Linked DNA regions of Nothobranchius furzeri. The protein of the gene in region 7 purifies or fractionates together with the protein of the main gene of each other region. This does not show direct contact. Links are inferred from orthologs where the notes say so. Each region holds a gene or a part of one and is shown on either strand. Other genes may lie near its edges. The genes, in order: luc7l3, dgcr8, cpsf6, tjp2a, clasrp, scaf1 and srpk2.

The links.
Region 1: the proteins of srpk2 (region 7) and luc7l3 purify together in Homo sapiens (affinity purification with mass spectrometry; 3 studies listed by BioGRID and IntAct, with this or other methods). This does not show direct contact. The link is inferred for Nothobranchius furzeri from reciprocal best matches to the Homo sapiens genes SRPK2 and LUC7L3.
Region 2: the proteins of srpk2 (region 7) and dgcr8 purify together in Homo sapiens (affinity purification with mass spectrometry; 3 studies listed by BioGRID and IntAct, with this or other methods). This does not show direct contact. The link is inferred for Nothobranchius furzeri from reciprocal best matches to the Homo sapiens genes SRPK2 and DGCR8.
Region 3: the proteins of srpk2 (region 7) and cpsf6 purify together in Homo sapiens (affinity purification with mass spectrometry; 3 studies listed by BioGRID and IntAct, with this or other methods). This does not show direct contact. The link is inferred for Nothobranchius furzeri from reciprocal best matches to the Homo sapiens genes SRPK2 and CPSF6.
Region 4: the proteins of srpk2 (region 7) and tjp2a purify together in Homo sapiens (affinity purification with mass spectrometry; 3 studies listed by BioGRID and IntAct, with this or other methods). This does not show direct contact. The link is inferred for Nothobranchius furzeri from reciprocal best matches to the Homo sapiens genes SRPK2 and TJP2.
Region 5: the proteins of srpk2 (region 7) and clasrp purify together in Homo sapiens (affinity purification with mass spectrometry; 3 studies listed by BioGRID and IntAct, with this or other methods). This does not show direct contact. The link is inferred for Nothobranchius furzeri from reciprocal best matches to the Homo sapiens genes SRPK2 and CLASRP.
Region 6: the proteins of srpk2 (region 7) and scaf1 purify together in Homo sapiens (affinity purification with mass spectrometry; 3 studies listed by BioGRID and IntAct, with this or other methods). This does not show direct contact. The link is inferred for Nothobranchius furzeri from reciprocal best matches to the Homo sapiens genes SRPK2 and SCAF1.

What each region holds. Positions count from the first base shown.
Region 1 is NC_091752.1:53,179,718-53,181,926, reverse strand, and holds part of luc7l3 (luc7-like protein 3), read left to right. Parts: intron 1-27; coding exon 28-209; 3' UTR 210-242; intron 243-1,640; 3' UTR 1,641-2,209. UniProt on the Homo sapiens protein: Binds cAMP regulatory element DNA sequence. May play a role in RNA splicing.
Region 2 is NC_091757.1:31,769,476-31,772,336, reverse strand, and holds the end of dgcr8 (microprocessor complex subunit DGCR8), read right to left. Parts: coding exon 2,773-2,861; intron 2,702-2,772; coding exon 2,588-2,701; intron 1,126-2,587; coding exon 1,042-1,125; 3' UTR 501-1,041; downstream 1-500.
Region 3 is NC_091741.1:47,840,563-47,844,680, reverse strand, and holds the start of cpsf6 (cleavage and polyadenylation specificity factor subunit 6), read right to left. Parts: upstream 2,801-4,118; 5' UTR 2,709-2,800; coding exon 2,649-2,708; intron 1,053-2,648; coding exon 846-1,052; intron 755-845; coding exon 651-754; intron 529-650; coding exon 383-528; intron 1-382. UniProt on the Homo sapiens protein: Component of the cleavage factor Im (CFIm) complex that functions as an activator of the pre-mRNA 3'-end cleavage and polyadenylation processing required for the maturation of pre-mRNA into functional mRNAs.
Region 4 is NC_091746.1:73,933,135-73,936,634, forward strand, and holds part of tjp2a (tight junction protein ZO-2a), read right to left. Parts: intron 695-3,500; coding exon 565-694; intron 1-564. UniProt on the Homo sapiens protein: Plays a role in tight junctions and adherens junctions. Acts as a positive regulator of RANKL-induced osteoclast differentiation, potentially via mediating downstream transcriptional activity.
Region 5 is NC_091753.1:42,025,199-42,028,300, forward strand, and holds the end of clasrp (CLK4-associating serine/arginine rich protein), read right to left. Parts: coding exon 3,066-3,102; intron 2,935-3,065; coding exon 2,876-2,934; intron 2,681-2,875; coding exon 2,634-2,680; intron 2,519-2,633; coding exon 2,433-2,518; intron 2,222-2,432; coding exon 2,197-2,221; intron 1,129-2,196; coding exon 1,074-1,128; 3' UTR 501-1,073; downstream 1-500. UniProt on the Homo sapiens protein: Probably functions as an alternative splicing regulator. May regulate the mRNA splicing of genes such as CLK1. May act by regulating members of the CLK kinase family.
Region 6 is NC_091758.1:13,840,717-13,844,216, reverse strand, and holds part of scaf1 (splicing factor, arginine/serine-rich 19), read right to left. Parts: intron 2,306-3,500; 5' UTR 2,242-2,305; coding exon 1-2,241.
Region 7 is NC_091744.1:58,271,275-58,274,774, forward strand, and holds part of srpk2 (SRSF protein kinase 2), read right to left. Parts: intron 2,064-3,500; coding exon 1,971-2,063; intron 1,690-1,970; coding exon 1,597-1,689; intron 1-1,596. UniProt on the Homo sapiens protein: Serine/arginine-rich protein-specific kinase which specifically phosphorylates its substrates at serine residues located in regions rich in arginine/serine dipeptides, known as RS domains and is involved in the phosphorylation of SR splicing factors and the regulation of splicing.

The DNA.
Region 1 (2,209 bases), on a different chromosome or scaffold from region 7:
CATGACGTAAATGCGCCATTCTTTCAGACCGTAAAGCATCAGAGGAGAAGAGCGGTTCTAAGAAAGACAGGCACACTGAAAGTGATGCAGCTGCCATCAGAGCTTCATCAGAACCAGAACCGATGCAGACGGAGGCCGCCGCCTCCCCCCGTCTGGTCAATGGCCAACAAGAGCTCCTCCAATCTGAAGGTGACACTCAGTCCAATTAAAACTGATCTGATAGGACCTCAGATCAGGCTCAGGTAAGTGCTGCCTCCTCTTCACTCCCCCTGGCTCTCAACCCACCCTCACACACCCTGACCCCTCCCCTTAACACCCACCCCACCCCTCCCCCTTGCCCTGTTATGTTCAGTTCAATGACTCTGATGTTGTCTGATGTACTACATGCAAACATCTTTATCCTGTTTTTGATTAGTGCATCGTAAGTATGCACTGAAGATGAAGGCCTAGGCCCGATGAGTGAGAAGAAGGTAGAAAAGATTCACTCAAAGCCAAGAGGGAAAGGCCAGTGTAGCCCTGAGGTACCCCTCGTTTTGTCTCGGTTTTTGACCCTTACACATGTTTATGTCACATTGTCAACACAATGACAGCAAAACGTAACTCATCAGTCTAAACTTTCTAGCTGTTTTCATGCCTGCTTTTACCTTATTTTACTGTTTTCAAACAGGAAATGGTAACATTCGATCCAGGGAAGAAGTGTCTCCATGTTTATTTATCTATCGCTCAGATTTATCCCAGTCATGTGTAGAAAGCCGAGAAAACAGATCAACCTTGGATTTAAGGTGTGTGTGGAGAACAGCAGCACTTAATGTAGCCATGGATTTCTGCTCCAGCTTAATGTGCCTGATGATGCCATGCACTGTGTGTGGGGTGGGTGGGGGGTGCAGCACCGGGAACCTGAGGACTGACTAACTGGAGGGTAGGGTTTATCACATGAATTGCAGCTGACTTCTATACCTCACACAGCGTTGGTGTTGTGAGCGAGACCACATGAGAAAAAGGGCAAATTAAAAATCTTGGATACTCTCTGACTGTCAAACTGTGCAGGTACTCACCCCAGGTACTCCTTTCTCTACCCACATCCATTTCTGAATGCTGTTGCCTGTCAGAACAAACCGTTATTCTTTAGATCGAGTATTTGAATCAACAGCTGTGTGTATTTTTTCTAATGGTCATTTTTGCTCTTGTGTTTATGGAGGAGTCGTGTTAGACTTAGACGATGATGTACCCTTTGCCATCAGCTGAAATTGTCACTAACATGTACCTGGTAGCATTGTTTGGCTGTTTAAAGTCACATTTCTGTAGTCTGTAGGGTGTTTCTGTGGTTCTCAGGTTTTTCTTTCACATGGCAAAGGGAATATCACGCAGCCTCGTCTCCACATTTAAACCTGATCTTGTGGAGGGTAATTGTGAATTGCTAAATATTTCAATTCAGAGAGAATAATAGGATAATGTGGCCAATTCACCCAAGATTATAACTATAGTTAACTTTTATGCATTAATGGTGTTTTTTTTTTGTCAGACTTCCTCCGTGATTAGGTTGAGGGATGTTTGCTTAGTGAATGTTCTCAGGTGTTGCTACGAGCCCGTGTTGTGGGACCTTTGCTAATATTGCGCATTGTGGCCGTTTTTCTCCACAGAGGAAGCTGGGATGACTTATGGAAGAAGTGGAAGAGAGCACCCGTCTTTACCCTGAACCCGACACACCGCTGCTTAAAAATAAGGTGAACCACAAACGTGTTGTGGCTTATTTAAGAAATGAACCTAAAGTACACGTGTAAATGTGGAGATGAACTATTCATGTTTTTTATGGTCATCTCATGTCGGTTATGAGGATAGCTGTGGTTCATCTGATTTTTATAAGATTGATTGGTCCATCTCTTAGAAAACTTAGTTAAGGTGCAAATAGGTTTTTGTTTTATTTTGAAAATCTTTACACATCCTCTGTGTTTCTTGGCATTTAGAAAAATGGAATAAACTTCAAAAACAGTGCTTGTGATTTGTGTTTGTTAGTCAGGTTGTCTCACTTCCTGACCTTTGAAGAAGTCCGATCAAAGCGTTTGTGCGATTTCAGGGAGTCTCTTCACCCCCACTTAGAGCCCACGATGAATGCTCTTGTCCCAAATCTGTAAAATATTACGATTTATTTTCATTGAAGACTTTTGAACATTTAAGATTTAATTTTGCCTTGCTTTTAATGTTCATGTTA
Region 2 (2,861 bases), on a different chromosome or scaffold from region 7:
ACAGCAAGAATGATGGCAAACACAAGAAACCACGATCCATAGACGACTCGTAAAATTCTGCACATGCTGCTTACTACTCTACTCGTGACACTGAACAGGCCTTAAATATATTTACCTGACTGTTAAATGCTTCATCATGTGAATGGGCCTTGGTCTCCCACTTCCTGCTGAAGGTTATTCTAGGTCCGATGTAACATTTAGCACTTGAGCCCTTCATGAAATGGATCAACTAAGGCAACATGTAGCCAACTTCATTTACCTTTTTAAAAGAAGGGCATCAGAAATGAAATGTCTAAAGCAACCGGTGCATGGCAGTAGGGTAGGAGTAAAGGACTCGGGCTCTGGACTGGGTTTACAGCAGAGCCAGGATGGGGTGAAGAACCAAAGCAAAACAAAGCGTCCACCCAAGTCTCAGAAGCAGTCAGACCAACAACAAGAACATCACACACACACACGCACACACACCAATAGTTCTGAACAGTGATCACTTCACAACGCATGTTCTTGTCATGCAAAGCAAGACGACAACTTCTCATTGATAAAACGGAACAATTGCATTCCTCACCCAAAATATCCAGAAACTACGATTAAAACACTAAATAAACCAGAAAGTTTGATTTCCAATCATTTGAATGGTAAAAGTACAAATATTAGTAGTCCCTTTCAAACACTTCAAGCACTGAAACCATGAGATTGTGACTAGAAAACACTGACCGAGAAACCAATGAGCACAGAGGTTTTTATGGATTAAACACGTATGCATGCTGTAATCTGATGTGGTTCATATTTTAATCAATAAAGTTTCAGTGCCGTAGAAAGCTGCAACTAGAGAGGTATTTAGTCGGGGGTCTGTAAGTGCATTTAGTCCTACCATTATAACAATCTGCTCAGTCACGAGAGGGTGTGTGTGTGAGGGAAGCCAGCTGGTCAAACGTGGGACTACACCGTCCTTTTGTCTCAGAGATGCATACTTTCGTCGTGGGGGTGACCTTTGACAGTGACCGGCTTTCAGTGCGGTGGTTCATCAGTGATTTATGAGAATTAAACATCAACAGTGCAGAGAGGCTCACTCCCCGGCTGGGCAGACTCCATTATGGTCATCTTGGGTTTCTTTCTCGTCTCCTCCTGATGTGAAAACAGTCAAGTACAAAGTTCATGAGCAATGCGTTTAGAAAGACCGGACTTCATGGAAAACAACTACAGAAGGTTTGCACCAGGAATCGTTTCTGTAAAATCACACAAAACAACTGGACTCCACTCCTCCAGACTGGGGTTCTCACTTGAAAAACAGAAATCAGCCTCAGGAATGGGCAGTCCGCACTCCCAGACTCAATCATTTAAACATAATTTAACCTTTAGTTACTGATGTTACAACCCCGGCACTGGTGCATCGTGTGGAGAGGAGGGGGTAACAAAACTTGACAGGTGGAAAATCTATAAATGTTTTTTTTTTTAAAGGGCCAAAAACGGAAAAACACAGGGAGGACGTTACCGAAACAAAAACGCCTATATTCTAACGAAAGGAACAAGTTATTTAACGGATTGGAATGAAATGAAATGCAGGGATTTCACCTTCTCAAAACAAGCTACAATTAAATAAGGAATTATCCTTTTTATGCAAAATTTAATCTAAATGAAAACAGTCCAGTTATCTACCAAAGTAACTCAAATCCTCAGAGGGACAAACGAGAACACAAAGATTAAATTCAAAGGACCATCTTCACAACTAAATTTACTCTCCCAAAACCGGGCGGGCGTTTAACAGATTCAAAAGGGCAACGTCAAAGATCTTCTAATGATCGTTCCCAGTTAACCCAGTTAACATTACTCACAAAACATTCGTAACTCTAAACTCTGTTTTTAAATTACCACCAACCACTGAGGTCTCCAACTACCGCGGAGCAAAAACCAAGTGTTGTCATCCTGGTTTGCCTCCTCGACTGGTTGAGATCACTGCCTTTTGTCTCCCGGGCAACTAATCAACGGTAATGTTGCCCAGCTGAGCTCATCAGATGCCGGCAGGAGCGCCGGTCTGGACCAACCGGGAGGCCAGAAGCGTCAGGGCTGGAACTGCAGGGAGAGGTTTGGGCGGTGTCCATAATGGACATGTCCTAAAACAATAGTGTCCAGCCCTGGTCCCTGAAAGCCCCCATCCATCCATCATAAGGAGGAAGAGATATTTTAAAAACCACGAGGTGCTTCACAAGAACAATAACTGAACAAACAAAATTTAAAAAGTATAAAATTGGGAAAAGTAAAAATTTTATATCAGGGAGGAGTAATATCCAACACGTTTTAGTTCTTTCACTGCTTCAACACGCTCAGTATCAATTAGGTGATTAACAGGCTTCTGTAGAGCTAGATAACATGTTGAACAGGTGAATCAACCACTGAATTAAATGTGTTGAAGTGAAACAACAAAAACATGCTGGATACCAGCCCTCCAACACCAGGACTGGGCATCCCTGTTGTAGTTTCTCTGCTTCAACACACCTGGTTTTAAAACGGGCCGCTGCAGAACTCCTGCTGAATCAGGAGTAGGAACTAAAACGAGCTAACGCTAACGTGTGTCTGGCTCTGTTCTTACCCTCTGAGCTGCCAGCTTTTGCATCTCCTCTTGCAGTTTGTTCAAGATGTGAAGGTTTGGCTTGTTCTTTTTGGCATACTGCTGAAGCTCAATCACACTCTTGTCGGAGCTCTCCTGAGGAAAGCACAAGTTCATTTAATTCATTTCTGGTAAATTTCTACCTTCCAGCTCAGGAGGACCCTCACCTTCTTGACCATCTTGTTGCTTTCTCTGCCGTACATTCGTAGCAATGAGCCCCAGTTCTTAACATGAGGGTGCAGCATCTGCAAGATCT
Region 3 (4,118 bases), on a different chromosome or scaffold from region 7:
GAAAAGAACGCTTGCTGCATATTTTTTCACTCCTCCAGTCACCGGTGAATAAAACGTTCATACTTTAAGAGTTTTTCCACGAGGTATTCTTCAAAGCGGCTCCGTGTCTGCCTCTAGATGTCTTCTTAAAACTAAGCCGTTTGAAAATTTCTATTCAGGAAGAATTAAAAGTTACATTTGTTGTTTTATACGGTTAAATCCAATCTTTTTCACACGATTCTCATCTTCGGAAAATCAAGTGATCGGGCCTAAACTCCAAACGCTTGATTGGATCGGCGCATCAAAATCAAAAACACTGACGCTCATCTCCACAATAGATTGGTAGCTACCCTAAGTTGGTAGACGTTCTTTTGCAGATCTGCCATTGTAACTTTAAACTTACTTTTCCGTGACTGCATCTCAAACTGACTGAGGGACTGTTTGTTGCACGGTGTAACGATGGGATTCTGTCCATGGAGCTCCCTCTTCGACAACAACTCCATTAACTTCCTGGATGATGCTTCTGAACCCACACACACGAGAGCAAATCTGAAGAACGCAAAGACAAACACAAGAGTCATTTTAATAATCATGCTCACAGCAATCAGAGAAGCTGGAGACAATACAAGGGTTATACTTAAATCAAACACAAAAACAATGGCCTCACTCACCCTTTTGACTGGCCATTGGCTCTGTTTTCATAGAATTTAATCTCTAGCACATCTGAGATGCCTATTGAACGGACGGCTTCTGTCAGGTCTTCATCTGTTGTCCACTGTGAGAGAAAACAAAATTTGAGTGATCTTACCAAATTTTCTGATGAATGCTATAAAAACATTTTGGCTGTTAAGATGACCGATACCCACCCACGTGAGGTTTCCTACATACAGGGCAATCCTTTTGCCTGTGTAGGTGTATGCGTTGGGTGGTGCACTCTTCCCCCCCTCCGAGCCACCTGGAGCAAGTGGTGCATCCAGGTACTCCCGGTCTTCAGGAGCATCTCCATTATTGGCCGAAGGTGAGATTACATCATCATACAAGTCGATCTGCTCATGAGCTGGGTACTCTGGTTCCTGAGGTATGATAAAATGTATGAATCAAAAACAGGATGTTTCTACTTCATTCTTTTCACTTTAAATTGTTTATTTACATAAAAAAAATCTACTCTATATTGAGTGCTTAATAAATCATTAGTAGTCCCCCTTTACAGAAACTATAATTCGTTTTACTGATTTGTATTATTTAAAGATCAACTTTACTTAGATTTTTAATACATTTGCGGTGGTCTCTAGCAGGAATAAATGCCTAGTAAGTCATACTCTGGGGGAAAAAAGCTCCGGTGCACCTGTTTCAGGAACTAGAAGTGGGCCAGATCAGAGGTGAGCTTCGGACGGCAGGGTTTTGTGTTTTATTTCCTGATACTTGGACATTTCCCTTAAACTGGCCAACAGCAATGCAACTCTACCACTGACTGCTTGCTGTGTGACACTGATGTTTTATCTCCACAAACTGCACAAGCTTGAAGGAGTTCTGCTGTGTGGTGGTGTTGCTAACACCAACAGGTAGCTTTTACTAGTTCCCTGCTGTTTACCGGATGCTAAAACAGAAACAACCTTTCCTGTTGCGCGAGTCAAAACGGGCGAGTCCATGAATGTTAAGTGACTGTGTGATGAAGATCTGTCAGGCTTTTCAAATCCTAGAGTTTCACCGACTATTTCCTACCAGAAGCTGATGCAGGAGATAGGTGTAGGAGACTGTTTTCATGTTCAGAAATAATAAAAAAAAATGGGTTTTCAGTGTCACGTTAAAAATATGAGAGATAATGTTAAAATTTCAATACATGTTGTTACCAGGACACTGACTTAAAGGGATTAAATTCCTATAAGATGTAACTACTGTTCAATGGACTACATTAAAGTTGTTTTATACATTCGTGTGAGACATTTCAGCGCCACCCTTTTGTTGTCTTTGGTACCTCGCCCTGGCATTAAAACAAATTAGCTTGCGTATGTCGTGCTTTTGTTGTAGGAACATTGAGGGATTATTGTTGATTACCGTTCAAATCATGGAGGCTGTTTGTCCCTCAGAAAGAAGGGGCGTAAGCAGCGAAATGCCCGGATGTACTGCTTCTTTACGCAGCCTCTACAAGCTAGTGCTACAAATGTTCTATCAACTCATCTCTAAATTAAACATGCACTTACCCAGGCACTGCGGAGCATTCCCACTCATTTACTTTAAAAGCGAATGGGTGGCAGCTCATAAAAATCTGAGCTGATTCACACGATCGTTTGGAAAACCTACGAGGTTAGCTCATAGTAGCTAACAGTAGGAGCATCTGTTTGACTCGCTGGTCCGCCATGGGAAACCACGCGGAGGCCTGGAAGGGAGCTACACGAATAAGTGGCTATAAATCTTGTTTACTCGCGTAAAATTATACTAATAATTATGTACCCGTTGTATAAACCCTTGGGCAAAACACACGCCTCGGTGAATGCTTTTACTTCAAAGGCTACATTGATCTGAAGCTGAGCTGCAACCAAGCGCCCTGAAAGGCCTCTTCAACAGACTCGCATACAAATACGATTTTATCCAATTCTAATACCAACAAATGATTACAAGCCTCCACAAAACCAAACACGGTTGAATGAACTGCCGTGAGTTAATAATACCTGGCTGAATTCCTCCTCCACATCGGCATAAATGTCGATATGATCCACACCATCCGCCATTTTCTCCCGATCCGCCGCTCTCTACCCGCGCGGCGGTGCAGTCTGCAGACCCAACAACGACCCACAAACAAGCAACCTCAGGGCGCGCCCCTGCTGGCCGCTGTGGGTACACGAGTAAATAACCCACTTTTCATTCTAATAAGTTTCATAATGAAAATCTGTTTGGTTTGGAGACATGAAATTTGACACACTTGCACCCATCCATCCATCCATCCATCCATCCATCCATCCATCCATCTATCCATCCATCTATCTATCTAATAATAATAACAATACTATGTTCTTATATATGTAAAAATATGTCCTTATGTATGTAACATAATACAATTTGTGTTTATTTTTAAAATATTGTTTATAAGTACATCTTGTTATCAAGTGGACCAGTTAGAGAGTTGCCAAAGTTGTGTGTGGCCAAATGTCTTCAGACCATCGAATTACTACAAGATTAAACATGTTATAATAACCATGCATGCGATTAAAAAATATTAATTATCTTCTTGTTTGTATGTTTGTTTGCACCCTTGTGGGGTTTTTTAAATCAGCATTACAATAAACGTGTTATCAAAAAATTAAGAATTTTTTCTTAGCTAATTTAAGAAAAACAATCACAGCTAGAAATATTTAATACGTCGTGATTTGGTCACACAAAAGACACACTGAAATATTGCATTTTCTATGATTTATGTGTTTTAACGAGATAGCAGCTGGTGGTGCTCTACGGGTTTAAAGATCTTTAAAGCTCGTTTACGTACAAATGTTTTATTATTTGGAGCCTAGTATTGGGAGTGTTGGACTGGATTGGAGTTGTATTGTCACAACATAGCCACAAGAGGGCGACAAAGGTTTCAATTAAACAGCACAAAGAGACATCAACGTTCTATTGTTTCCCTCTTGATTGGTTCTTTCCTTTTGAAATTACTTAATCGATTCCGTTGATTTTGTTCCAGTAATTTCAGAAAATGTTGCTAAGAACAAATATTTAAAAACGTATCCTAATATTTCTAGACTTGTATCTGGTGAGCATGTGATCAAATAATATATTTTATTAAATTTACCTCAGTTCTGTCCAGTTTATTTATATAGTGCCAAATCACAAGTCATCTCATGGCACTTCACATTACTAACCAATTCAATTCATTATACCAATTAGTAAAAAGTTTTCCCATATAAGGAACCCAGCAAATTGTATTGAGACACTGCCTAGTGTCAGTGTCTTTTACAGCAATCCTCATTCAAAGCAAGCATGTAGCAACAGTGGAGATGAAAACTCCTTTTAACAGGAAGAAACCTCAAGAGGATCTTGGATCAGTATAATCAGCCATCTGCCACGACTTACTGGGGATTGACTCACCCCGGCCCCTACACAGCGCCAGGTGGGATATTCTGGCCACACGGGCGATATGGGCTGGA
Region 4 (3,500 bases), on a different chromosome or scaffold from region 7:
AAAAAAAGCAGAAAAAAATCAATTAGAGGACAAATACAAGCAACATGAAAATAAAAATGAACTTCTTAGGAATCTAATTAAAATGCGTATTTTATCAGTTTGGAGGAATGTAAGCGTCTTAAAGTTATCTCCATCTGATTTAATACACTCTGGTATGGTCTTCCCTCAAACTAGCCGTTAGCTCGTTAGTCCTGATGGATGTGAACCATTTCTCTGAGCAGAGGCCCTTCAGAAAGCCTTCTACAATGGGTAAAATAAGAATTTACAAATTTTAAACAGAAACACACTTAAGTGTAAGAACATCCCTTTATTATAGATCATTGAAACTGCCATAGTAGATTTCTTGTAGGAGCAGCTCAACTCCCACATGAGAAATCCTCTCCGAGTCTCCCAACTGAGATTGTTCTGACTTCTGTTCCTTTACCAACATCTTTAAGTGAAGTCCGTTGGATGGATCGTACCCGGAGACAACTGAACTGAAACCCTGACCCATGTTCTCACAGAACCAAATGATTCTCCATTCCTTCCCTCTCATCAATAATAAACATCAGAGAAGTGTCCTACCATAGTGATGGCTGAGAAACTTCTTGAAGAGAGGCGGTGAAGATACAAGTAATGGGTCTCTCTGGACCAGCAGAACTTACGGCCAGACTTCAGTAGGTCAGTACTGGTCGGGTCGGAGCAACCCTGGTCCCTGTGGATGGAAGGAAAACACATTAATTTTTTACACAGATCTGGGACAAAAAAGTGACAGGTCATCAGCCCAAAAGGTGAAACCGAGCAGAAAACCCTGTTCTTCAGTGGGAGTTTCAGCTTCTCTAGGCTGACCGGTGTAGTTTATGATATCGTGTACTGCAAGGCTGCAAAACTGACCAAATGTTGCTAACAATCACATAAACAATGTAATCTAGGACTAGGCGATAACTCAAAAATGTATCCATCGGTCATTTCTAACCAAAACCATTTTTCCCCATGTCAATTAATTCGATAGTAAAAAAAATAAATAAAAATAAATAAATAAAAGAATAGATGCGTGTAAGTTGGTGAAGTTCATGTCCCTTTAACTAGCTGGACCATCTCCAGTCACATGACAACGTAACTCTACGTAATACCCGTGACGGCCCCATCTAGTGCTTTTGTGCATGTAGTTATTGTTTATTTACGTTAGAGTTTAACTCGATATGTCGTGATATTTATTTTAGGCCACATCGCCCAGACTTAATTTAATCCACTTGATGTTCATTTGTTCATGTGTTTCTCTCACCAAATAGAATATTTACTAAGAAATACACACACTTTGTGTGTGTGTGTGTGTGTGTGTGTGTGGTGTGTGTGTTTGTGTGTGTGTGTGTGTGCGTTCTTGTACATACTACATTCTGAGAACCATTTTGAACACTCTCCCTACAATGTGAGGACATTTTTTGGGTCCTCATTTTTTTTAGAAGCTTACTATATCAGTTAGAGGTCTGGTGTGAATGGGTTAGGAACAGATCAGCATTGGTTATGGTATGGGTTAGGCATGGTGAAATCACAAAAAAAAGAATCAAAGTCAATGGGGGGATTACGATAGAAAGACAGATGCGTGCGTGCGTGCGTGCGTGTGTGTGTGTGTGTGCGTGCATGCGCGTGTGTATGCGTGTGTATGTCTGCATGTGTGTGTGTGTATTCTTCCCAGTGAGTGGTGGAGGATGGCTGCTTATACTGAGCCAGGATCCTCTGGAGGTTTCTTCCTGTTAAAAGGGAGTTTTCCTCTCCACTGTCGCTGCATGCTTGCTTAGTATGAGGATTGCTGTATAGTCACTGACACTAGTCAGTGACTTGATGCAACCTGCTGGGTTCCTTACATAGGAAACTTTTTACTGATTGGCTTAATGACCTGACCTGTGTTGGAATGTTTACTGTGTGAAGGTCCTTGAGACGACTCTTGTTGTGATTTGGCGCTTTATAAATAAACTTGAATTGATTTGAATTGTAAGGATGAAAAACTCAAAGTGAACACGAATCTTAATGTGGCAAGGTGGAGAAACGAGGGCCCAGGCGGGATTCGATCCCCAGACTCCCGGGTGAGAGTCATGCATGCTAACCAGTCAGCCAAAGGGACATCCCCTTGGCAAGTAGCCAGGGCGCAGGATCAGTCGGGATACTGTGACAGGACGCTCACACGGTCACATTAATAAGCAATCTATTGTATTTGATGCTTTTATTTTGATAAGGTACACAACACACATGTTTTTGACTGAAGAGGAAACACAAATCCTTCTTTCACCCATAACTCACATCCTGGTCGTATTGCGAGTCATGTAGGTCCATCCTTTTCTCAAAACGCAACTAAACATTATAACCAACAGATTATCGCTTCCAGCACCAATTTCTCCACATTACTCCCTCAAAAGTTAATCCCACCAAGTGTGCTGTGATCTTCACATTTTAAACTTTTAAGAGGAGGTGATGAATGTTTAAAGGGAACATCTCTGCTGGCGTGTTGTTAAACCCAACAGAAAGTCTGCACACTCACATGGGATTCACCAGGCAGAAAGGTCCATTTTTAGATGCTCTAAAAAGGCTTGAACCTTCTAGACCAGAGACATGATTTTTACACTCAAAATCACATTTATTTCACATCTGAGACATGTTTCTCCCTCATGCTCGACTGCAAAGAGCCCAGACCCGCACAAAGACACTACAGATCATAATCTGCAGCCTCCCTGACCCGATCACTTGCAGCATGTGCAGACATGAGTAAAACACATTCTCAGCCAAACTGGCAGCTTTAATGTCGCCCTCCTCCTGGTGTCTTTGGTAACCAGCCTGAACTGTGATGAAGAAAATGCTACGGAAATTTAAAATAAGACAGGAGATGATTACTTAATCCCAGCTAGAGTCGTTTCTGCGTTAAAGAAGAAACGTTTTCTTGGGTAAAAAATGCAACGTTGATGTTTAACTCCCTGAATAACGCGAGCCCCGATGCTTCCTGTGATGATTAGCTTCTAGCCCCAGCAGCCAGCTGAGGATGAAACCTGTGAGTGTGACCTTCCTTCCAACACGATGTAGACAGACTGTTTTGTGATTAATTCACTATTGAATTCTTACTTATTGCTCCTTTAAGTTTTCACATGCAACAGAAAGATCTTTAAAGAGCAAGTCACCCTCAAATCAACTTTTTTTCCTGATAAACTATATAAATGCGTGTCTAGTCGTGATGCAGACACGTGTAGTCAATAGTTTTGCACTTTAGTGCATTTTAGTTAAAATTTAAATGTTCTGCCTAAAACTGGCAGTGTTGTGCCATTGTCAGGTAAAAACTCTGCACTAAACTTGAATTTAAATTTGCCATCGCTATTGGCTAAGAGGTACCCTAGAACGTTAGCTGGTACCATATGATGTCACAATGTCAATGTGAGCCTGTGTGTGTGTATTTGTTAGCAGCTCCGCCCTCTCGGTCTGCTAGGCAACAGCATTTGTTGCATTTTTCAAACAGGAAGTGGGAGTGGAGTAATACT
Region 5 (3,102 bases), on a different chromosome or scaffold from region 7:
CGCAGGACAGAGGGAGGTGGGGGCATGGACCGAGCACACCGCCCGCCCCGCAGACCCTGATCCCGCCCCCTTCGGGTAAAACAATCCACGCACGCTTATCACCTTTAATTTTCTCACAACAAACTGGAGTTTAGTCAGTGTTGACTGACTGAATCATGTTTTTTAATGAGGCGGGGATCGTCAGAGTTCCTCCTCAGTGGCTCTGAGGGAACTAATTCTCCACAGGTGTTTTAAAACCAAGCAGGAACCAGGTCAGTATTCACTTCTGCTTTTCGCTCCGACCAGCTGCGGCTCCGACACTCATTATCTTCAAGAATCACTCAAATGAAAATTATTTAAAGTTCAAGCACGGATCCAAAACTCGCATCTTGTTTTTGTCGCCACCAACTGGTCAAAACAAAGTACCGCACTACTGACAACTCCAAAACTGCAATAAATCAAGCTATTTCTACAATATCAGTTATTGTTTCAATATATACAAAAACACCAAGACAAAAAAATATTCAAAATCTTTTTTTATTTTTTCTGCATTTAACATTCCACATTAGAGAAACACGTTTCTGTATTTGGCCAGCTGAGTACAAAATGAGCAACCAACAGTTTAATAAACACAGACAGATTCCCCCTTTAAAGTAGTTAGATTTGGATTTATATATAATTCATATCCAGCAAATCAAATTATGAGACAGCTTGAAACATTCCTTAGTTTTCCCGTTACAAAATTGTAGATTGTTGTAGAATATTGACATTGGGTAGATGAAAGGCAAAACCATGGGTACTGCTTTGTGTTACACACTTTCACCTTGTACAAATATCTCCAGAGGAAGTGGAGGGAAAACAAAAAATGTACCATGCAGAGGTGAAGAAATCTTGAAGAAAAATCTCAAATGAGTAAAGAATCACAGTCTGTTTCATGTATGAGCAGTACGAGCGATCGTGTTGAGTTGTAGGCTTATGAGCTGGTTTGGTTACCAACAGTCAGTCACTCCACCTCTTCATATTTCCATGTAAGTGGCTCTTGTTGGACAGTTTGTAATGGACGTTCTGCAGGATGAGTCCACCACGTCCACCTGTTAGTATCTGTAATACGGACTCCGCGATCGAGATCGAGATCGCGATCGTGACCTTCTGGGAAAAAACAAAATCGCTGTAGAAAAGCCGCCAGCACATGATAGCAATATTTACATCACTGATCTGATCTTTTCTGACACCAGACATGTCAAAAACAGCAAAATGACATTTGACTGTCACACTGTCAGTCTTAATTGTTTAGTTTTGTTTTCTGTGCCTGCAGCTTAAACATCTGAGTGCAAGCCTAGAATGGGACAAGCGCCCCCTGTAGGCTGGTTTCATTACAAGCTCAATCCCGCCCCCTTCATGTAAACTTTTGTGTAAAAGTAGAATTCCACCCAAGACAACATAAGACATGTTTTGATGTTGAGTCACTGTTAAATCTGTTTGTGCTGCATCATACATTTAATTACTATCCATAGAGGTGTGTATTGGCAAGAATCTGGCGATACAATATATATCACAGTCAACGGGAGACGATACGATATATGGTGATACTAAAAGCCAGACATATTTGCAATTTTCAACACTGAATTTGATGGGAAAACTCAGCTGGTTCAAAGATACATCCACAATCATCGCTATTTCTAATTGTTCCATCAGAATGAATGAGGTTAAAAACTGCTGCCACCTAGCAGCCAGGATTTGAATTGCACCACACAAAAGAAATACAGGAACTTTTTGCATTTAAATAATCAAGACTGGTATCGGAATATCGCAATATTTCAATAAATTGTTATTTTCTTACACCCTTAACTACCTAGAATCAACATCAGAGATTAATTAATCTTAAATCAAATATCCAGGTTAGTATAACTACTTATTATATTATAAATAATAACAGTAGCTATTGGCTCTTCCCAGAACACGAATGGTTTTCCAAACTGAGTTTAGTTTTGCTGAGATTTTCTTTGGTTTCAGGAATAAATAAAATAGCTTTCCACCCTCGTTTGGCATCGGAACATGAAGACTAATCTGCAGCTCAAGAGAAAGCTGCCTAACGTACGGGTTTAATCTGCAGGCTTTGTGACGGGTCTTTGAGACGGGGTTTTGTATGAACATGAAAATCAAACAAACATTAACGCTTCACTGGGACTGTAAAGATTCCTGTGGTGTCTTACATACCTTTTGTATGAGTTGGACTCTCGGCCTGAGGGACAGAGGAAGCAGAGCCACAATAAAAACAAGATCGTGTCTTAACGTCTTTTAGCCCTTTAAACAAACTGGTGGTAACAAATCAATCTGAGGTTTAGCTGGTGACATTTTGTTGGCATGCATTTACAAAAAGCCTTGTAGGGTAAACTAAACTAATTTGTGTTTTTATATAGATCTATTTGTGATGAAAAACTGTCCCGTCTTACTGGATCTGGAGGGGGAAGGTGAGTTGCTCTGTCGGCCATATTGTCTTTCCCATTCATCTCTCTCTTTTTCACGTCGCTCACGCTCCCTAAACACAAAACTTTTAGGTCAGAGAGCTGCAAGACACATGCACGCACACACAGTTACACACCAGAGTGTGCACATATGCACACTAGTGAGTACACATCATCACACACACATACTTCATACGGATCTTGCGTGCCATGGCTCGCAGCTCTCCCTCACGCTCCTGTAAAATTAACAAGCAATGAGGGGAAATGACGGGGAAGGGTTGGTTTCAGCATAGATTCTCGCACACACACACACACACACACACACACACACACACACACACACACACACACACACACACACACACACACACACACACACACACACACACACACACACACACACACACACACACACACACACACACACACACCTGCCGCTTGTGTTCCTGCTGCTGGATCTTCACCTGAGCAGCTTTTTTATCCGCCTTGGCTGCAGGTCAGGGGAAAAAGAAATCAAACAAGAAATTTAGAGAAAACCCGTGTTAGACCTTTAAAGTTTTGCATAGATTCACAAAAACCGTGCACAGCTTTTGAGAGACGTGCTCATTCAGGCATACTCACACTGCTTGTTGAGCGCCTTCTGCATTCGTAGCTTCAG
Region 6 (3,500 bases), on a different chromosome or scaffold from region 7:
TTTGCCCAGTTTTCTGGCCCGCTTTGCTAAGGGAAGACCAGGTGAAACCGACGCAGAGCCGGAAGTGATGGTTAGCGAGGAGAGGCATTTACTGGTGGTTCTGTTAGAAGACGTGGAGGACTCACATTTCTTTAATGCGTGGGACTTCTTTTTGGGGTGACTTCGTCTGGTCTTGGGTGTAGCTTTAGCTTTAGGGCTGGGGACAGGAGGCTCTGGAGGCAAAGTGGCCGGAGGCGTATCCTCCATAGAGGGGTAATCTGAATCCAAGGCTTCACCATCTAAAGACAACATGTCAATCTCCAATTTGTCTGAGTAGCGGTCCGACTCATAGCCATGATACCTGGGTGGTGAAAGCGATTGTGACCAGCTGCGACAGCTTCCCTCTTCCTCTGCAGCTCCACCTGAATGCCATTTTCTTTTCTTCCTTTTATGCGACTCGCTGACCTGTGTGGGATGACTGGGAGATGCTGTGGACAGTCTGGGGGAGCCAGGTACGGTGGTGGTGGTGGTAGTGGTTGTGACTGTGATGGTTCTCTTAATAGCAAAGAGATCGGACCCGTTGAGGTCTTGGATAGATGGGGGCACAACAGGACGCCCATCTCGCCGGCGCTCCATCTCATGCTGTCTGTCGCTGTCCCTCTTGTCCCTGCTCCTTTTGGACCTCTCCGTGAGGCCTCGCTCTCTGCTGCTTGAATGGCGTATGCCCTTCTTTTCCCCCTCTCTTTTTCTAGAACTGGAATCATGCACTCTTTCATCTTTTCTATGGCTACTGCTGCGATGACGATGTCCATCTCTGTCTCTGTCTCGGTTTTTATCTCTATCTCGGTCTTTATCTCCATCCCGGTCTCGGTATCCGTATCTGTCCCTTTCTCTGTCTCTGTTCCTGTCTTTGTCTCTTTCTTGATCTCGATGTCTTTCCTCGGACAGCCTGGAGAAGGATAGTCTAGAATGCCCTCCCTTTCTAGAGGACTTGTGGGAATCTTCGGGGCTGCTGTGTAGTCGTTTCTTTCTCTTTTGACTGCTGCTTCTGCTGCTCCTCCTTGCTCTAACCTCCTTCCCAGCCTTGTGTCCTTGTTCCTTTTCTTTGCTCCTGTCCCTATCCCCCTCTTTGCCCTTCCTTCGCTTTTTCCTTCTGGTTTCCTTTTCTCCAGCTTTCCTATCTCTGCTTTTCTGTTGGTCACGCTCCTTGGAGCTCTTGGAGGACTTGTGGCTCTTGCCAGTTTGCTCTACAGGAGATATGGGTGGAGGGGACACTGCAGAAGCTTTAGGCACAGAAGGAGGCAGTGGTGGCTGAGAAGAAAGGGGAGACGAGGCAGGAAATGAGTGATATCTTTCCTTCCTCCTACTGACCAACTTCCTTCTCAAATCCTCCACTCCAACTACAGGCTCGTTCTCCAGCTCCTGGTCATCCTCCCAGTTTCCCTCCGTGCACACGGATACAAATCCATCTCCATCGAGCACACGGAGAATGCGCTCTGGTTTAGAAGCAAAGAAAGAGATTTTGGGAGAGTTTGAGGTGAGTTGCTCTTCATCAGGTCTGTTATTAGCCCTGTCTCTGTCAACAGCTCCAACAATTTCCCCCTCCTCTATCTCAGAATGGTCAGAGTCACTGCTCTCTTTTTGCCCTTCGCCTTTGGGGGTGCTGCTGCCCAGTCTCCGTCTCAGAGACAGCTGGGGAGCTGGACAGGGGCTCAGCTGGTCTGTAAAGGTGTCAGTGGAATCTGGAGGTTCTTCTTCTTTCTCCTCAGGATTGTGAATCTCCTCCTCTTTTTTAATGTCTTCATCTACATCTGATTCTGGAGAGCCAGTGGGATCAAAGGGGTCATACTTCTCTCCCTCCCCCTCTTCATCTGCCACCCTTCTCTCTTTATCCCCATCAGTCGGACTGAAAGGATCATACATTTCCTCTTTCTGGCCATCTTCTTCACTGGACTGCATTGATCCACGAGGACAGCAGGCCACAGAGATGGTACTGGATGAAGGAGTGGGGAGAGGCTGTCTAGCTGAAGAGGTGGATGTGGAGGACACCCCAGACACCTCTCTTTGACATTTCACATGATTTTGATAAGCAGATGACTTTGCACAGAAAAAGGAGGATGAAGACGATGGTGAAGATGGATCAGATGAAGGGGGTGAAGAGGGTGAGCAGAGAAAAGGGCTCCTGGATGTTTCTTCAGCTTCTACTGGGGACGAGGAGGCAGCCAGCCTCCTTTTGAAGCCTGGTGTTGGAGACAGGTCCATGGGCCAGGAACACCTGTGACGCTAGGATGCCAAAAACACAAAGCAGAAGGGTCCAGGAGCACACCTGGCAGAGAGGAAAAGATTCAAGTTAACGGAGTTCTGCAAAAGTTCCCAATGGAGTGTATTAATAGATTCTATTGAAACTGATTTATTCAAAGTTTTAAATGCTGACACCTTCATCATCATCACCTTCATCATCATTATCATCAACACCTTAATCATCATCATCGCAACCACCTTCTTCTTCTTCTTCATCATCATCATCATCATCATCATCATCATCATCATCACCACCACCAGCTATCATCATCTTCATCATCATTATCATCACCACCATCACCATCATCACCTTCATCATCATTATCATCAACACCTTAATCATCATCATCATCACAACCACCTTCATCATCATCATCATCATCGTCACCACCACCAGCTATCATCACCTTCATCATCATTATCACCATCATTATCATCACCACCATCACCATCATCACCTTCATCATCATTATCATCAACACCTTAATCATCATCATCATCACAACCACCTTCATCATCACCATCATTATCATCAACACCTTAATCATCATCATCACAACCACCTTCATCATCATCATCATCATCGTCGTCACCGCCACCATCATCATCACCACCACCTTCATCATCATTTTCACCATCATCATTAACATCAACACCTTCATCATCATTATCATCATCATCATCATCATTATTATTCAACATTATCACCATCACCGTCATCATCATCATCACCACCACCAGCTATCATCACCGTCATCATCATTATCACCATCATCATCATTATCACCATCTTCATTATCACCATCATCATTATCACCATCTTCATTATCACCATCATCATTATCACCATCATCATTATCACCATCATCATTATCACCATCATCATTATCACCATCATCATTATCACCATCATCATTATCACCATCATCATTATCACCATCTTCATTATCACCATCATCATTATCACCATCATCATTATCACCATCATCATTATCACCATCTTCATTATCACCATCATCATTATCACCATCTTCATTATCACCATCATCATTATCACCATCTTCATTATCACCATCATCATTATCACCATCATCATTATCACCATCATCATTATCACCATCATCATTATCACCATCATCATTATCACCATCTTCATTATCACCATCATCATTATCACCATCATCATTATCACCATCATCATTATCACCATCATCATTATC
Region 7 (3,500 bases):
ACAGATTAGAACAACCTCAACTCAAAAATCACATTTTCACATTATAAATTCTACAAATTTCATTTTATTTAACAATTCTTGACAAAACTACTGTACTTGTCTTCTAGGTGAGACCAGCAAATGATGAGTTCTGTCTTTTCCCCATGGGCGATTTTCATCCGGTAATAAGAAAGCCCCAAAGATCAGCAGTAACCTAAACAAGTGTGCTTTGTTTTCCTATTTAACTCAATAAGACCGGTAACCATAAGAGTCCAATGTGTTTTTGTTTTCATGCCTCTAAAGTCATCAGACAGAATAACAGTTTAAAACTTGTTTATTTGTTTTCAGGAGAAGTTTTAGGATGTTTTTCTTTCATAAAGTAAAATGATGACAGAGCAGCCTCTCTGTAGACGTTTTTAGCTTTTATTTTCTTTAACATAGAAAATACTCCTACCACAGTTCATCTGGTGATTTTTTTAAGTGTGCTTTGTTTTCTCAGTCGTGGCAGACAACTGCTTGATCCAGGATCTGTTGGAGGTTTATCCCTGTTAAAAGGGCATTTTCCTCTCCACTGTCGCCACATGCTTGCTTAGTATAAGGATTGCTGTAAAGTCACTGACACTAGTCAGCGACTCGATGCAATTTGCTGGGTTCCTTAGAAAACCTTTAACTAACTGGAATAATGAACTAAACTGTTTAATCAGCGGGTTCAACTGGAATGCTTGAGACCACTTGTGATGCGAACTGGTGATATAAAAATAAAGCTGATGATTTTCAGCCCCCTATAGGTGTTACTGCCATCACAGTTCTGCAGACTTTACCAGCTGAGTTGAACTCTAATTAAAGCTGAATGGTAAATTTGGAAAACAAATTAGCTTTAAACAGTTTTTCATGCCTCTTAAACAAGTCACCCCCAAATCAACTTTTTGGCAAACCCTGCGTGCACACCCCACCCCCCATACATTCTAGCGAACTGAAACCCCCCCCCCCCCCCCAATAGAAAAACCTTCATATCATCATGAGACAACACCAATGTAATGTCTCTGTAAACAAAAGATGTCCAAAAGCCTTGTATCCATTTCAGCCGTTTAAAGTGTCTTTCTGGAGTTTCCCCGTTCAGAAATTATGTATGACTTTCCGTGCCGACCAGAACTGACCAATAGTGTTAAACTACCGCTTACGTGCTTGAAATTTAAGAAATACCTTGGCTGATGCACAGTTGATGAACTTTTCACGGACAAGAAAGTCTCTTAAGTATAAATATAGGAGAACAACATGACATGAGAATAATTCTTGTAAAACATCGTGTTTTAGCTCTGATTGTCAGCAACAGAAGGACATAAATAAACAAGAAACGTGAAGTCGCCATTTTAATAAAACGGAAGGAGAAATTATTTGTGTGATATGCTTGTCAGCCACTAGATGGTGCCATCGGATAAGGGAAATACTCCAGAAAGAGACTTTAAAGAAATACTCACCTGAACATTTCTTGATGCTTAACGAGGAACAAACTTTACAGAAACCGATTACATAGTCTAGGTTCTGTCACCAGAACATTCCTCAGAATGAGGCCAACAGCGAACCCACCAAGCAGCCACGGACTCTGGTTCTGTTTACCTTTCTTGGAGAAAAACTCTCGGCTGTACTTCCCGGCAGCAACCACTTTGCGTGGGACCTTCCCAAGGAGCTCCGTGATCAGAGCGATGTGGTCTGCCCACCAGTCACATACATCACAATGGGAACAGGCACATTACAGCATGCACACACATCTACACACACACATACACTGGCTGCACGGGGCTGACACACAGATGGCTTGAGGCTCAGCCTGGACACTCTCGCAGACTTGGGGGGTGAATTTGTTCCATTTTTCTTAAAGTTTAATCCAGTTTATCCATTGGGACCAAACGTAAACAGTCTGCTCATTTCCATTATTGTCCCTCTAAGACATCTTTGTGTTTCAGCCCCACCAGCTCTACGGCCAGCGCTACCTCTTCTGTTGAAGAACTCCCGGGAATATTTTCCAGAGAGTGCAAAGTGCCTCGGAATACAGCCCAGCAGCTCTATGATGTGGGCTATGTGGTCTATGGAGGAGATGGGGTGGAAGGAGGCCAAAACAGAGAAGGTAAGGAAGGGGGATGAAAGGCAGACAGAGCCAAAAATAAAAATAAGAGAGTGGAATCAAAGAAAAAAAAAGGACACAAAATAAGACCATAAAAAGGAATAAGGGTGAAACACCGGTAACAAAGAAGAAAGAGGGATAGCGAGTGACAGGAATAAAAGAGAAATCATTATGATGAGGTTAAGGGGGATGAGAAAAGAGAGAAAAGAGAAACCATCACAGATCTTAAAGAAGAAAATCCTGTTAATAAGCTGTGCCTCCACAGGAGAAGTAAGGAAAGGAAAAAAAAAGTGAAACAAATACATCAAAGACAACTCGGCTTGCAATAGATCAAAGATGTTTCCTGTAAATTGGGATGTCTGAAAAACCGACGCTGACTTGATGCAAAAAATCCTGGAGAAGGGAGCTAACTGTGGCTCATGAAGCTAGAAAAACAACACAATGAGCTGAGCCAGATCAAATGATAATAATAATAATAAAAAAATTTAAGCGCCTTTCAGGACACCCAAGGTCACTTTACAGGAAAAATACATTCAGTAAATTACATTAAAACAACATTAAAACACAATGAAGAAAAGAACATAGAAAAAACTAAATTCAAATAAAATCAGAGGTCATAGGCAGATTTGAACAGGTGTGTCTTGAGTCTGGATTAGAAGAGGGTGAAACTGTCAATATTTCTGATGTCTAGGGGGAGTGAGTTCCAGAGACGGGGAGCAGAGCGGCTGAAAGCTCTGCTCCCCGTGGTAGTGAGACGGGCAGAAAGAACAGCAAGATGGAGGGAGGAAGACGATCTGAGGGAACCGGAGAGGGTGGTAATACGTTTAAGGTCTGAAATATATGGAGGAGAATGTTTAAGATGGACCTGAATTTAACTGGAAGCCAGTAAAGCTGCTGGAGAACCGGGGTGATGTGGTGAAAGGAAGGGGTTCTTGTGATAATACGGGCTGCTGAGTTCTGGACCAGTTGAAGTTTATGAAGGAGTTGTAGGGGAGACCAAAAAGAAACGAATTGCAGTAATCGAGGTGGAAGACTGTGGACACGAATGGCGGCGGTGTGAGGGGTAAGGGAGGGGCAGAGACGGTTTATGGATCAAATATGGAAATAGGCTGACCGAGTTATGTTATTGATGTGAGCATGAAAAGAAAGTGAGCTTTCGAGAATGACACCCATACTCTTAACCTGAGGGGATGGGGTGACTGTGGCGCTGTCAATGGTTAAAGAAAAGCTGTCCGATTTGGAGACGGTGGATTTGGTACAGACAAGAAGAAGTTCAGTTTTATTTCCACCGAGTTTGAGGAAATTAGACGTGAACCAAGATTTGATTTCTGAGAGGCAGAGGGTAAGGGAGGAGGGTGGGAGAGTGGAGTTAAGTTTACTGGAAATGTGGGTGTCATCC